Ovis aries: one gene and its partner. The protein of the gene in region 2 purifies or fractionates together with the protein of the main gene of each other region. This does not show direct contact. Links are inferred from orthologs where the notes say so. Each region holds a gene or a part of one and is shown on either strand. Other genes may lie near its edges.

Region 1 (7,164 bases), on a different chromosome or scaffold from region 2:
CGGGCCACCTGTGAAAGCACCAGAAGGCGTTGGCCCTATCCGACCCCCCCTCGATGTCTGAAGGCCAGGACGCCCAAGGAGGGCTGGCAGCTCTGGTAGACGGGCCACTCCCCAGAGCTGTCACCATCACCCCTCCCACAGCGTACATTCTCCTCCCGCACCTCGGGAAGGTGGGCCCTCATCCACAGCTGTCTGCTGACAGCAGTGACTACCGTCTTCCTCTGGAGCCCCGGTCCCCGGGGCTGAGGCGCCCGGCCAAGCTGTAGGAGCCCCAGCAGAGCTAGGGTGACCAGGAAGAGTGTCTCAAAGGATGGGCTGAGCCCAGCCCAGCCCAGCGTGCCTGTGCAGCAGGAAGGCTCACCTCGCCCTCGGACTTCACGCCCACCACCTTGCCATTCTCCATGATGATGTCGTCCACTGGTTTGTTCAGCATGTACGTCCCCCCATAGATGGCACTCAATCTACAGTGGGGAGAGGAACCATGAGAGTGCCTCCTGGGAGACATGGGGACCAGCACTACTACACGCCCTGCCCCCAGCAGTGCAGGGCATGGAGAAGGTGGCCTCAGGCAGGCAGAGCTCAGGAGACCTGGGGGCTCTTCCAAGCTTTGTTGCTGCCAGGACCTCAAGACTGAACCTGGAGGGGTCCCTCCTCTCTAGACTTACTGCCAGAAATTTCCAGCTAAGGGCTAGTATGAGGGCAGCTCCTCAGGGAAACATCCCAGGGAACAGAATGAATGGCTCTGATGAATCTGACCGGAGGTTTCAAGGCCACAGGCCCAGTCCTCGTGCCATCTGACTCCAGCCAGGAGCCAAGCGAGCCCTATCTGTGATCCTTCATCTCCGCACTACAATGCCCCACTAGGCTGCTATCACCCGAGGATGGTGGGAAGTAAACTAAGCCCACAGTGAGAAAGTAACAAAACACAGTGGAGATGCCCAAGGGGGCCCTTTCCATTGTGGGCCTCAGCCTTCTCCACTGCCAATCGACAGAAGCCACGCCCTCACCTTGCAAAGCCTTGGGGCAGCTCGCCAAGGCCATAGAGTGGGTACAGATACGGGCTCTTTCCATACCGAGCCAGGGATTCGCTGTACAACTTGATGCGGTTGATGGTCTCGAGACATGGCTGGTCCAGGTAGCTGGGAGAAATAGGGTCAGAAGAGGCTCCAAGAGCAGAAGGCCCAGTGCACCCCCACCCTGGCATCAGGCCAGCCTTCCCACCCTTGCAGGCCTGGGAAAGACCATTGGTCAAACACAAGGAAGGGACAGAAAAGGCGACAGGTGAGTGAGCCCGGAGCTGAGTATGGGAGGTAGGCAGGGTGAGCCAAGGGAGCAGCAGGCAGGAGTGGGAGGGCAGGGTGTGGGCCGGCTGAAGGGTCATCTGCCATGCCAGTTTCCCCTCACTCATCAGTGCGGTAGAGCGCTAGGGCATGGCCAGTGAAGTCAATGACATCCTGCCCCAAGTCGAACTTCCGGTAGACGTCACGCATGCTGGTGTTCTGGGGGTCGACACCCTCAAAGGTCTTGGGGTCGTTCTCATCAAAGTTTGCCACGAACACCAGGAACTTGCGGAAGCGCCGTTTCTCAAACATGCCCATCAGGTCTGTGAGGGCCACATGCAAAGCACCACTGAGGTACGGGCCGTGACCCTCTCCACCTGCCAGGCAGGCAGAGCAAGCCGGTGCCCTAACTCCCAGCAGAGTTCTCTTGCTGACCACTGTGTGATTTTCAATTAACCCCTCTGTGCTCATTGGCCTGTTTTCTCAACTGTACCAAGAGTGAGTCTGGCTGGACAGCCTCTGAGAGCATTCCCAGCTCTGACACTTGGGGATGTTTCACTGATCAGGTGAAGCCTCTGTCCAGGACACCATATTCCCTTCGCACTTGGACACCTCTCCTGGCAACCAGTGGGTGCACACAGGGGGATGATAGAGCAAGGGGCTTTTGGTACTGCACAAGAAACATGGCCTGCAGCAAGGGCCATCCTGCTCTTGATAGCTATCCCCCCTTCCCCCACCCCGATTCCCTGGCTCATGGGACCCACACTCACTGGAAGCCAAGGCTTCAGTCTCGGTAGATGGTACTTTGTAGATCTTGCCCCCCTTGTAGACAAAGCTGCCCTCCACCACCTTGAAGTCCAGGTAGCGTGTCACCTCTGTATACAGTAGCATCTTCACAAGCTGCCCTGCAGGGCGGTGTGGGAAAGGCAACACAGTCAGCATGGCTCCCTTCACAAGCTCAAGCTGGTCTGTCTGTCCCTGGTCTGCAGTCTGACCCTTCTCTGCTCGTCCCAATCACCCCGCCTCCCACAATACCTCCTCCGTCTCCCTCACCATTGGCCATGAGGAATTTGGGGATCAAGTCAACGTTCCAGTCTCGGCCCCGGCCCATTGTCTCAGGGGGCCCCTCCAGCAACTGAAAACGCTTATACAGCTGCAGGCAGCAGAAGGGAAAAGAGAGACAGAAAGATGCATCTCAAGGAACCCCCTCCCACTCCCGCCCCTGCCCCCGCCCCCCACCCAGAAAACCTGGGGAGCTGCTTCATTCAGCACCCCATGCAAGAGGTTAACGAGGGACAGGCCTGGGCCCAGAGCAGCCTACCTCCTCCAGGGGGGTGATGGAGGAGCTCTCACCCCCATAGTAGGGGTTCCGGTCCATGTGCAGCACCTTCTTCCCGTTCACAGACATGATACCCGACAGGATACATTCCTGAGTGAGGGGCAATGTTCACTGCACTCCCATCTGCCCACATTCCCACAAGCAGCCCTGACCATGTTCCCCACTCCAACCCTGAGGGGAGAGTCAACCTGAAGGGCCTCTGCCTCAACACACAGCTCCTTGCACCTGTGGCTGGTCGCTCTGCCTGAAATTGGGGGGGGGGGGGGACACCTTCATTTGACCATGGTTTCCTTTTAAAACCTTGCTGGGCAAAAAGGTGAACAAGGAAGAGGGTATCCAGCAGACACATGGATGGTCTTCAAGCAACCAAGATGCCAAGAAAATCATCTATCGACGTAGAAGCCCACAAAAAGGCAAATAAAACACAGGGATCGCCTAGCTGGACAAGCAAAGGACCCGAAAAGGAAGTAAAGGCTTAGCATGGTGCCGAAATCCCAGGCCCCACCCTGGGCCACTTTCCTCAAAGAGGAACCCCTGACCCTGAGCTTTCCCCGTCACAGTAGGGGCTTCCACACCCGACTGTTGGGGAGGCATCTCTCAGGGCAGCAGTCCAACAGGGTTCGGGGGAGGGCAAACAACCTCACCAGTCACTGTCACCAGCCCAAGGACAAAGGCTGCAAATGCGCCTCAGCCCCGAGGTCTCCATGGGAAACCGGGGTGGGGTAGTGGGAATGTGGTCACGGTCCCCACCACGGCTCCTTCTGGAACATTCCCTGGGTCCTCGGGCCCCCTAAGAACCTGGGAAGGCAGGATGAAAGCCCACCCTGGGAAGTCCCCCCGCCCCGATCTGACTGGAGGTCCCTGTACCACGACATCCCCGTCAGAATGAGCGCAAAATGAGAAGGGATGTTAAGTTGGTCCTGGGTAGGGGCTGGGGGTCGGGCCCGGGGAATCGGTCAAGAGAGACAGCCAGAAAAGGGGCCGCTTCTTGGCAGACCGGCCATGACAGGGATGGAGGCCGCGTCACGGTGGTTGGGGACGGGGCTATCTTTTCGGGGACCGAACAGCGCCGCGCAGGCACTGATGGGAGGATGGGGCCGGGGGCTGCAGCATCCCAGGGAGGAGGACAGGCGGCGCCCTGGACACCGGCGGCCGCACTTACGGTGAGTCCGGTTCCCAGCACGATCACATCGTATTCCTCGTCCATGGTCAGGCCTCGGTGTCAGCGCCCGTCGGCTCCTCCTCCTCCGCCACAGCCGCCGCCGCCGCCGCAGCCGCCGCCGCCGCCGCAGTGGACCAAAGATGGCGGCTCAACCGTGCCGCTCAACCCCTCCGCCACGTCAAAGAGTCCCGGCCCCTCCCCTCCGCCGCCGCGCCGACCGGGGGCCCCTGCTGTCCCCGCTTGCCTCCCGGGGAGGGTTGCTGGAGCCCGGGCTCTAGCACTCGCGCCACTCGGCGGGCCGCGCCGCTTTGCCGAGGGCCTAGAAAAGAGGGCGGTGAGGCGGGGCGGGGCGGGGCGGGGCGGGGCGGGGCGGGGCGGCGCGGCCTGGCAGACGGTGCTGAGGTCCGCCAGGGATCCGTGCGCAGGAGCCGCGCGCGCCCCGCCCCGGGAAGCTCGGCGCGGCCCCGCCGGCTGGGCGCGCGCTGCTGCAGCAGCCCGAGGCGGGCCCCTAGGGACGTGGGGGCGACTATTGTCGTGGCCGTCTCCCCCGCCTCCCTCTCCCGGGCGCTGACGGCCCCCGCCCTCCCCTAGTCGCTGAGGCGGGGGCCGGGGGAAACCCAGCTAGCAAACAACCCTCTCGGCCTCCGCTTGGTCCCTGGAAAAGCAGCCTCCATCCCTCCATCCTCGGGCCTCCTCTCTCGGCCGTCAGCCAAGTGCATCCTCCCTTCCTTGTGCCCAGCGCAGAAATGAGTGACAAGAAGCCCAAGCATGGCGACCCGTCTTTATTTTATTCGGAAGGAAACCACGAGCACCCCAGGGCTCCTGCCAGGTACTCCCGACAGGAACAGGTCCCAAACCCCGTGATCACACCCATCCCACCTGCCATGTAGATCCCTTCCTTCTTAGGCCAAAGGAATAAACCCCAGTGTACGTCTTATTGTTAGCACATCACCAAAAAATAAAATAATAACGCCAGCTAAGCGGGACAGACAAATAGTACTTCCACACTCCCCCCCAAACTCAGGGAATGGAACAGCTCCTGGCTGCTACAAGGAACCCCATAGAGCCTGGGAAGAGAGGACTGGCTACACAAAAGCACTATCAACAGCAAGCAGCGAAGGTGGAGAAATCAGAATAAATAAGGAGAAGGGGGGTGGATTTTGTAGAACTGATGGCCCCTACCTTTATAATGATCAAGCCTGGGAGATCTGTCTACTGTCTATGCAGAAATATATACACCTTGTGGAGAGAGATGTGGTGGGGAGTGGGCAGCCTAGGGAAGACCCTCAGCAGGCTGAACAGGTAGCCTGACAAGCTAGGGGGAGCCAGGGAGTCGTGCAATGGCGGAAGAGGGAGAAGCCTTCCTGCCCAGTGGGCCTCTGATGGGAAGGTGACAACCTGGACCTCAGGCACGCCCTCAATCCCCCCCCCCATCCCCCGCCCCTACAGGTGTGGAATCACACGATCTGGGTCAAAGTGATGGTGGGGCCCTTGTGGTCGTCGAAGCGGTCCATTGTCTTGAGGCTGAGGATCATGTGCAGACCATAGGTGAAGATGAACAGCATGAACAAGGAGGTGAGCAACCCCATCCAGATACCCGGGGAGAAGAAGCCTGCACAGTCGCTAGCATAGGAGAACTGCTCGCCTGTCACATTGAAGGCCTGGATCTGAGGGACAGAAAGCACTGAGTGGCCCCACCCAGAGAAGCCCAGTAAGGGCTGGGGGTTCCCCAGCTGGTGGGAAGAGAGCAGCAAGGGTACGGGACTCCCCTACACTCCCAGGCCCAAACCTGAAAGGACCCAGAGACCCTTCGCAGGCCTCTGCTCCCCTCGAACCCCTCCTCCAGCCACGGCTTCCCCACTATCAGGCACAGTCCCTCCTCCCTTCCTACCTGGAAGTCCCGAAAAGTCATCTGCCAAAGAGAGGGCTGTGTGTCAGGCACAAGGAGGTTGCCATCCTCATTTTCACTGCTGACATGCTCGCAGTGGAAGGAATAAATGCTGGGCCCCGTGACCTGGGAGGCATTGAAGTAGGCGACGGAACCGTTGCTATGGATTTCCAGGTTCTCCAAGGTAAACCAGTACCGGGCAGATACCCGGTAGAAGCGGTTAGCCAGAGTGAACCTGGGGGGGGAGCATCGCGGAGGGAGGTCAGGCAGCTGGAAAGGCTGGAGCCACAGCAGCCCACCCACCCCTGCCTCTCAGACTCACTTGAACGTCACCATGGTCCCAAAGAGTGAGTCATAGGTCAGCACCAGCCTGCGGAGGAAGAGGGGTTTTCAGACTCTGGAATGGCCTTGAAAACATTTCCGAGCAAGGCCCTTAGGTCTCCTTCTACCTGAGCTGTACCAGATCCTCCTGCAGAGCCACCTAAAGAACCAGCACCCTAGCTTGACAGATAGGAGACCTGAGGCCCCATCCCTTTCCAAGTCAGGAACCAGGTAGCACACAGGTACCCCACCTCCAGCAAAGGGCTCCTTCCTCTGGGTTCCCTGAACCCCCAGACTCCCTCTTGGAGTTGCTTAAAGTGCTCAGGCTGGGCCATGAGGCTGCCCAAGAGGGTGGCACCAGGATCCAGGGTGATTAGGAACTGTTAACAACCAAGGCCCCAGCTAAGGGATGAGAAGGCGTGAACAGGCAGAGCTCTGAGCAGCGGCCCCACCCTACACCACCACCTGCGTCCTCACGCTGAACGCCCCTAAACAAAGACCCAGTCAGGGGCACGCACTTTGCCCTCACCTGGCAATGGACTCATTCCAGGAGGAGCCAGTCAGGTTGAGGTCCTGGACCCCAAAGGTGCGGGAGGTCAGGTCCTCCCAGTGCTCCCTGTATGCCACCGAGAAGTTTTGGGCCCAGAAGAGGATCCGCGGGGCAGTGTCATTGTAACTCACGGGGGCATTGATTGCAGGTGGCACCACCGTTCTCTGCAACAGCTGGCGACCCAGCCCCCCAGTCACCATGGCTACATCACGGGCCACCTGCAGACAAGAGCCCACAAAACCTTCTCTCAACAGCCCTGGGGGCGAGCCCTGAACCAGATAGCCTGCCCTTCCTCTCCCCACTAGGCACCATCTCCGGTCCCACCAGTGATGCTCATATGCAAAAGCTTCCTCTGAGCAGCTTTCCCCTAAGCTTCTGACATTGCTAATCTTTGCAACTTCGGAACACTTGGACTTCATGTCCGAAGACGCCAGCCCATAAGGCTGATGGGACGAGACGAGATGGACAGTGGTCGCTTGACTTCATGGCTCATCCATGCCCCCCACCCCTACACCTGCCCAGAGGAGGAACCAGCCCCCCTCCAGGCTCCCCGACCACACTCCTGGAGCCCTGGGCATGGGCACGTACCCTAGAAGGGCGGACCGCCGTGAGGGCCGCTGTGTA
Region 2 (7,164 bases):
CCTTTGACTTGTGCGCCGTGCTGAAGTCCACTATCCTCTACATCTGTCCTTCTTGATCCATCTCTTAAATGACAGTACCCTGCACATCACTTCAGGTTTTGATTCACAGCTAAAGGGAAGCAAAAGTATTCATCAGACACACAGAACTCAGCTATTACCAAGATGAGACTGGCAGGGAAAGCTGTGACATCCAAAGACAAGTGTTACAGGATGCATAGGAATCAAAGGTTTTCCCTCAAACTATTTTCCCTGGCGAGTATTCTAATAGTTATTAGAAGTGGGAAAAAAAAAATCTATTACATCAGTCTGAGCAATTTCTAGAGGATGGTTTAAGAGAAAAGGAAAAAAAACAAAGAAACTCCAGCTTCCTTCTTATTCCAAAAGACATTCAGAGCAAAGATTACCTCCTAGGCAAATGGGGAAAACAAGAGTCTGCGGAATAGCAATGAGTAATCAGCTGGATTTGGGACGTAGGCCAGGCTACCCCTAGCCCATCCACATGGAAGAAGTAGGTAGGAAGTTGAAAACAAAGGTATTTAGCTTGAAGGACTGATGTGGCTAGAAATATTTAGGAGACTTCAGAGAAAGGCAAGTAACAGGCAAAGACTGGAGTGCCTCGCAGTTCAAATGACCATGAAAAATTCTCATAAACTTTTGATTTCTCAAAGACCAATGTTTTCAAAATTCCATGGCCTGGAGGCACCACACATAGCGCCTTGATAATGCAATTGTGGTCTTTAGACCAACAGCACCTGCATGGCCAGGGAGCTGGGCAGGTGCAGAAGTGAATATGCAAAACCAGAATTTGCATCTTAAACACACCAGTGGGCTGTGGCACGTGCAGTTGAGAACCACAGCGGCAGTGTTCCCCAAATTCTGGTCTTTGTTCACCAATTTTCCATGGTGACAAAAATACAAACACTTAAAATGACAAATTCATCCACTTTAGGGAAATGTCCTTTATTCTGAGGTCACATGCTTCCTCTGTTGACATTTTTTATATGCCCTAACAAAATACAGTAATGGCAATTAAGTGATCTCCCTAACAGCAAGTTATCTCATACTTCACTGGAACCAAGGTGAATTTGAAGACATATGTCCTGTGCCTAGAATATTCTGCTTACTCCACTTTGCCTTATCAAGACTAAATTTCTCCTTGAATCATATTTTGACTATTATGTATCGATTTCCTGTGGCTGCTATAACAAAATACCACAAACTGGATCGCTTATTTCGTAGTCTTCATAGTTTTAGGCTAGAAGTCCAAAGTCAAGTTGCCCGTCAGCCTCTCTGAGGACTCCAGGGAAGGGCTCCCTCCTTGCCTCTTCCTAGCTTCTGGTGGCTGCTGGCCACTCTTGGCGGTCCTGGGCTTGTAGTTCTTCAAACCACATTCCTTCCTGCGTGAGTCCACATCCAAATTCCTCTCATCTTACAAGAACTCCAATGCATGAGAGCTCACCCTAACCCGACATGACCTCATCTGAACCTAATTACACCTGTAAAGACCCTGTTTCCAAACAAGGTCACAGTCACAGGGTGCCTGCGCTTAGGACCTGAACATACCTTTTGGGGGATACAATTCAACCCACAGCAGCATACAATCACACATTTTAAAAAGAAAATATCCTGATAATTCTCAAAATTATATGGTAAATACTGTAATATTTTCGAACTAAAGCACAAAATAAAAATATTAAGAGTCCATTGTAATAAAGCTAGTACAGGACCAACAATTTGTGTTCTTGCTTCATAAATTGTCATGGTAGAATGCATAAATTACAGTGTGTATAGAGATTTGGCTTAGATTTTTTTCCTCATTCTCAAACTGCCCCAGCCCTTAAATCTTTTTTTTTTTTTTTAATTTCTAGCATCTTCTATACCACTTATACTTTTTAGCTCCTTTCTGAACATCACTGCTTGATATTAATATTTGATTTGTGAGTTTTTGTCTCACAAATCTTGGTATCAGAAATCACCTAAAGCCAATCTGTGATCAGCCAATCGATCTCCTTGGGAAGTCCCAAGCCACATCAACTGGCCAGGCCTTTAAGAATGCTGTGAATTTAACGGTATTTGTGAAGCACTGTTTAGGGATAATCAGCCGGAGCTTTCAGTCAGAAACCGGTATGTTTGAGATTTCAATGTTGTATTGCAATATTACATAAAGTATTACATAAGGTATGGTATTCATGTGGTTGGTGTTTCTGGAGCAGCAAAATGTTGAACACCAGTCACTGGAAGGTGAAACACTGCCTTAAGAAGCTAAAAGGCATGCGGACACAGCTCATGAACGTGTACTCATTAACAGTATACTGGTAAGCAATAGTTCTTCGTTTTTCATCATATCCCTGGCCAACTACAGAGATTCCTTTTCCAGAAGAGAGAAAGTGAGCACAGAGTACTAAGGAGTTTAAAGATTAGGAAAACATTCCTTTACCATCTACCTAACAGGCAAACGTCTGAAAGGAGGGAAACTGTTTTCCATCTGGGAAACAATGCTATGCAAATCTACCAATGATAAGTGAAGGTGATTGCTTGGTTTGGGGTGACTTTTATTTTGGGTTAGCACTGTGAAGTGCCACACTGCTCTTGCTAAAACTAAATTTCTATGTGTTTCACTTAATTTCTTCTATTAGAGGGAAGGACTACAATTAGTAAAAACTAAAAACATATTTGGAAGCCACCATGAAAGAAGAGGAATAAAGGTCAAAGCCTGATGAACAGAATTTGATCAGTTGACCTGTGATGCTCGATGAGCTCTGTCTGAAATGGAGACACCATCTTTTATCAAGGTTATCATTTCATACAAAATATGGTGTCTCCACTTCAGAGGAAATGGCAATCCACTCCAAAATTCTTGCCTCAAGAATCCCATGGACAGAGGAGCCTGGCAGGCTACAGTCCATTGGGTCACAAAGAGTCAGACACGACTGAAGCAATTTAGCATGCATGTTTCACATGAGACAGATGAAACATAAAAGCTCCATCTTTCAGTCCTCCTCCTAACTCGTAACCCCACTTGGTTTCTTACTTGGACTTTCCACTGCTCCCATGTGCTCCTTCTCCAGGTCAGAGAGGGAAAAAAAAGCGTGGGGAAAGGAGCACTTGAAAAATAAAGAAAAAGCAAAAGCATAACCAACACTTGCTGGAGAAATGGATTTTTTTTTTTTTTTTTTAGGAAATCTGACTATGGTTCTCTATAGAGAGGCAGACCACGTGGATGTGGCAAGTACAGTAACATTAGAAGCTCTGACAACACTGATCCTTACAAGCCAGGGGTGTGGTTTCCGACTCCCTAAACCTTCTAGGAATAGCTGTCTTGCTCCCAGTGTTACCAAGAACAAGGCAGGTACCAGGCACAGGAGTGGCTGAAGGTGGAGCAAATGCCTGGGTGCTTGAGGGGCCTCAGCCACAGTCCTCTTACAGGCATCCTGGATCCCTCAGGGCCTGGGCACTTGTAGACCAGTTAATGCCTCCGTGCCTCAGGTCTGAGTCACATTTCTTTTTAACATACCTTCAGAGACCATATTCCTTCAGAACTCCAGCCTGGGTTTTTTTTTTTTTTAATATTCACTAGTATCATAAGTGGATTAACACTGTATCCCCCAATGGACTAGCTTGCCAAGACCAGAACAGTGCAGGAGGGTACCTTGCACTGTTGGAAACCACACCAGCCCGTAAAGCCGGTCCACACCTATCTGCTGACAGAAAGGGGCAGCACGCCAGGGCACACGGAAGAAGACATGACGAATTTGACTAGAGGTAATGTTTTTGAACTCGAGCCCCTCCCTGGGGCTGTAAAATCAAAATCAGACTTAATCTGAGAATGCCCAATCTCAGAGTGACTCCAGACTGGTAAACACTAGTAAACCTTGATACAAAGCAGAGATGTACTCTATTGTTTATTTTTACCACGCAGGACAAAAACACACAGATTATGAATTGGGAAGGCTTTCGTTTATTTAAAAAAAAAAATGTCTGCTGGCTGCCTTCGGGTGTGAGTGCTACAGAAGAAGCAAAGATCAAGCAGAACAGGCTCTGCTTCCGAGGTGTTTATAGTCTTGCAAAGATACATTTATAAACAGCCACCATACAGCTTGAAAGGTCTCGGAAGGAAGAAATGCCTGTCCATAAGTCCTTGTAATTTGCGTGCAAAGGAAGGAATTTCAAGCAAGGAAAGGTCAAAGTGGAAGAGTCGAAGAACACACTCAACTGCAGGCGTCGTCCCAAGTCCTTCACATCCCTCGCTGGGGACAGCATCGCAGTCTCTAATGGGCTTCCCTAAACCCTGAACTAACATCAGACCAAGAAACGGAAACCCTACCGGCAAGTACGCGGAGAAGCAGCAGGCAGACCCTCGGAGAAGCAGATCACATAGCCGGGCTACCCTCGGGCGGCCGCGCCCCAGCACTGGGATCCCGGTCCCCACGCCCCCGGCCCCGGCCCGCGCCCCCCGCCCCGTACCGTAGGTCTCGGACATGGCCGTCTGCGACATCTTGGGAGCGGCTCCGCCTCTCGCGGGGCGCCGCTGCGGCTCCGCCGGGCCGGCGGCAGGGAGGCCGGGGAGTCGGCCGCGCCTCGGTGGGGAACGCGAGGGGCAGCGAAGCGGAGGAGGGAGGGGCCCGCGGTCCCCGCGGCAACTGCCGGCCCCCAGCTGCTGCGGCCCCGCCGGACTGCGGGCTCCGCGCAGGCGCACGGCCCCGCCCCGCTGTCCGGGCGCGGAGGGGAGGGGAGGGGAGGGGCGGCCGGGAGGGGAGGGGAGGGGCGGTGGGGAGGGGAGGGGAGGGGCGGCCGGGAGGGGAGGGGAGGGGAGGGGCGGCGGGGAGGGGAGGGGAGGGGCGGCCGGGAGGGGAGGGGAGGGAGGGGCGGCCGGGAGGGGAGGGGAGGGGAGAGGCGGCCGGGAGGGGAGGGGAGGGGCGGCGGGGAGGGGAGGGGCGGGGCGTCGGGGAGGGGAGGGGCGGGGACCCGGCGCTCGCTGGGGGCGCGCGGGGAGGGAAGGGGAGGGGAGGGGCGGCGGGGAGGGGAGGGGCGGGGCGTCGGGGAGGGGAGGGGAGGGGCGGCGGGGAGGGGAGGGGAGGGGCGGGGCGGCCGGGAGGGGAGGGGCGGGGCGGCGGGGAGGGGAGGGGCGGAGACCCGGCGCTCGCTGGGGGGCGCGCGCGGGCCGGCTGGGGCGGGGCCGGCCGTGGGGCGCAGCGGAGCCGGGGCGGGGCGCAGCGGAGCCGGGGCGGGGCGCAGCGGAGCCGGGGCGGGGCGCAGCGGAGCCGGGGCGGGGCGCAGCGGAGCCGGGGCGGGGCGCAGCGGAGCCGGGGCGGGGCGCAGCGGAGCCGGGGCGGGGCGCAGCGGAGCCGGGGCGGGGCGCGCGGGGGCGGGCGGCCCCTGCGGTGGCTGCAGGGGTGGGGAGCCGTCGGCGGCCCGCAGGCCCGGAGGTGACCGGGAGGGGCTGGGGGTGTCCGGGGCTGAGCATCACGGTCCGCTCCCGCACAGAGGAGGCTGAGTGCCCGCCTCGGAGAGGCAGGCCGCCCTTTGCCAGGTGGGCCGCCTCCGCAAAGACGTGGCCGTCGTCATCTGGGGCACTCGGCCAACGAAGGACTTCCTCTGAGCTGCAATGATCAACCCGGGTCGGGGTGAATGTGTAACTAGGCGGCGGCGGCCGCAGGTGTCCAGCGGGAGGCCAGCGCTGCCGGCTGGGAGGCAGGCTGACCTGCCGGGGATGGAGCTTTCACTCCTGACCCGCGGGGGCCTCGCCGGTGGGGCTGAGCTGGCGTCTGGGGAAAGCTGACAAAATCTCAGGATGTACCTGTGCCGAAGAGTCCCTAGAAAACTGTAGTCGTCGCCCCTCCGCACTCCACTTTAGGGGAATGTGGCTTTGGACAGGAAGCATCTCTCGGCGCTCAGCCGCGGGTGCATTTTCTACGGGTAGGAGTCGTTGGTTGAATATTTTGATGTAAAGAGCACAGCTGAATTCAGGATCCCCTTCTGTTGTCAATGTAGTGATAAACAGGAAGAGATTTTGGGGAATTTTGCTCCATTGGAGCATGATAAGGACCACGTGGTATGGTATAAGACTCAACCTTGTTCAAAACACACAGTAGAATACTGAAGGTATGCCCTGGCTAAGCTCCCAAGTGACTTGGATGGTGAGGGTAATGCCAGAAAATACATTTTATTCAAGTCCATTTGAGTCTGTCCTCCAAACTGGCATCGGTCCTTCCCTACGGTCATCCCTCTCCTCCCCAGCGGCTCTCTGGCTCTACATGGTTCCGCTCTCTGATTCTCCTAGGAAAGAGATACTCTGCTTCTACATCACAGAGGAGTCCTCCCCACGACCCCTATCCGCTGGGGAATGTGGTTCGGTTCAGTTCAGTCACTCAGTCATGTCAGCCTTTTTGTGACCCCATGAGTAGCAGCACGCCAGGCCTCCCTGTCCATCACCAACTCCCGGAGTTCACTCAAACTCACCTCCATTGAGCCAGTGATGCCATCCAGCCATCTCATCCTCTGTCATTCCCTTCTCCTCCTCCCCCTAATCCCTCCCAGCATCAAAGTCTTTTCCAGATGAGTCAACTCTTCGCATGAGGTGGCCAAAGTACTGGAGTTTCAGCTTTAGCATTAGTCCTTCCAAAGAAATCCCAGGGCTGATCTCCTTCAGAATGGACTGGTTGGATCTCCTTGCAGTCCAAGGGACTCTCAAGAGTCTTCTCCAATACCACAGTTCAAAAGCATCAGTTCTTTGGCGCTCAGCTTTCCTCATAGTCCAGTTCTCACATCTATCTATACATGACTACTGGAAAAACCATAGCCTTGAGTAGTTGGATCTTTGCTGGCAAAGTAATGTCTCTGCTTTTGAATATGCTATCTAGCTTGGTCATAACTTTGCTTCCAAGGAGTAAGCATCTTAATTTCATTGCTGCAATCACCATCTGCAGTGATTTTGAAGCCCCCCAAAATAAAATCTGACACTGTTTCCCCATCTATTTGCCATGAAGTGATGGGACCGGATGCCATGATCTTAGTTTTCTGCATGTTGAACTTTAAGCCAACTTTTTCACTCTCCTCTTTCACTTTCATCAAGAGACTTTTTAGTTCCTCTTCACTTTCTGCCATAAGGGTGGTATCATCTGCACATCTGAGGTTATTGATATCTCTCCCAGTAGTCTTGATTCC

The links. Proteins that work in one complex are often made in the same cells at the same time.
Region 1: the proteins of RAB4A (region 2) and GDI1 purify together in Homo sapiens (co-immunoprecipitation; 4 studies listed by BioGRID and IntAct, counting the BioPlex papers as one, with this or other methods). This does not show direct contact. The link is inferred for Ovis aries from reciprocal best matches to the Homo sapiens genes RAB4A and GDI1.

Annotation. Positions count from the first base shown.
Region 1 is NC_056080.1:80,000,159-80,007,322, forward strand, and holds the start of GDI1 (rab GDP dissociation inhibitor alpha), read right to left. Parts: upstream 3,827-7,164; coding exon 3,782-3,826; intron 2,710-3,781; coding exon 2,602-2,709; intron 2,434-2,601; coding exon 2,334-2,433; intron 2,186-2,333; coding exon 2,051-2,185; intron 1,604-2,050; coding exon 1,405-1,603; intron 1,140-1,404; coding exon 1,008-1,139; intron 462-1,007; coding exon 362-461; intron 9-361; coding exon 1-8. Other genes in the region: ATP6AP1 (V-type proton ATPase subunit S1), read right to left, coding at 5,239-5,448, 5,673-5,904, 5,992-6,039, 6,520-6,758, 7,129-7,164. UniProt on the Homo sapiens protein: Regulates the GDP/GTP exchange reaction of most Rab proteins by inhibiting the dissociation of GDP from them, and the subsequent binding of GTP to them. Promotes the dissociation of GDP-bound Rab proteins from the membrane and inhibits their activation.
Region 2 is NC_056078.1:775,672-782,835, reverse strand, and holds the start of RAB4A (ras-related protein Rab-4A), read right to left. Parts: upstream 4,496-7,164; coding exon 4,465-4,495; intron 1-4,464. UniProt on the Homo sapiens protein: The small GTPases Rab are key regulators of intracellular membrane trafficking, from the formation of transport vesicles to their fusion with membranes.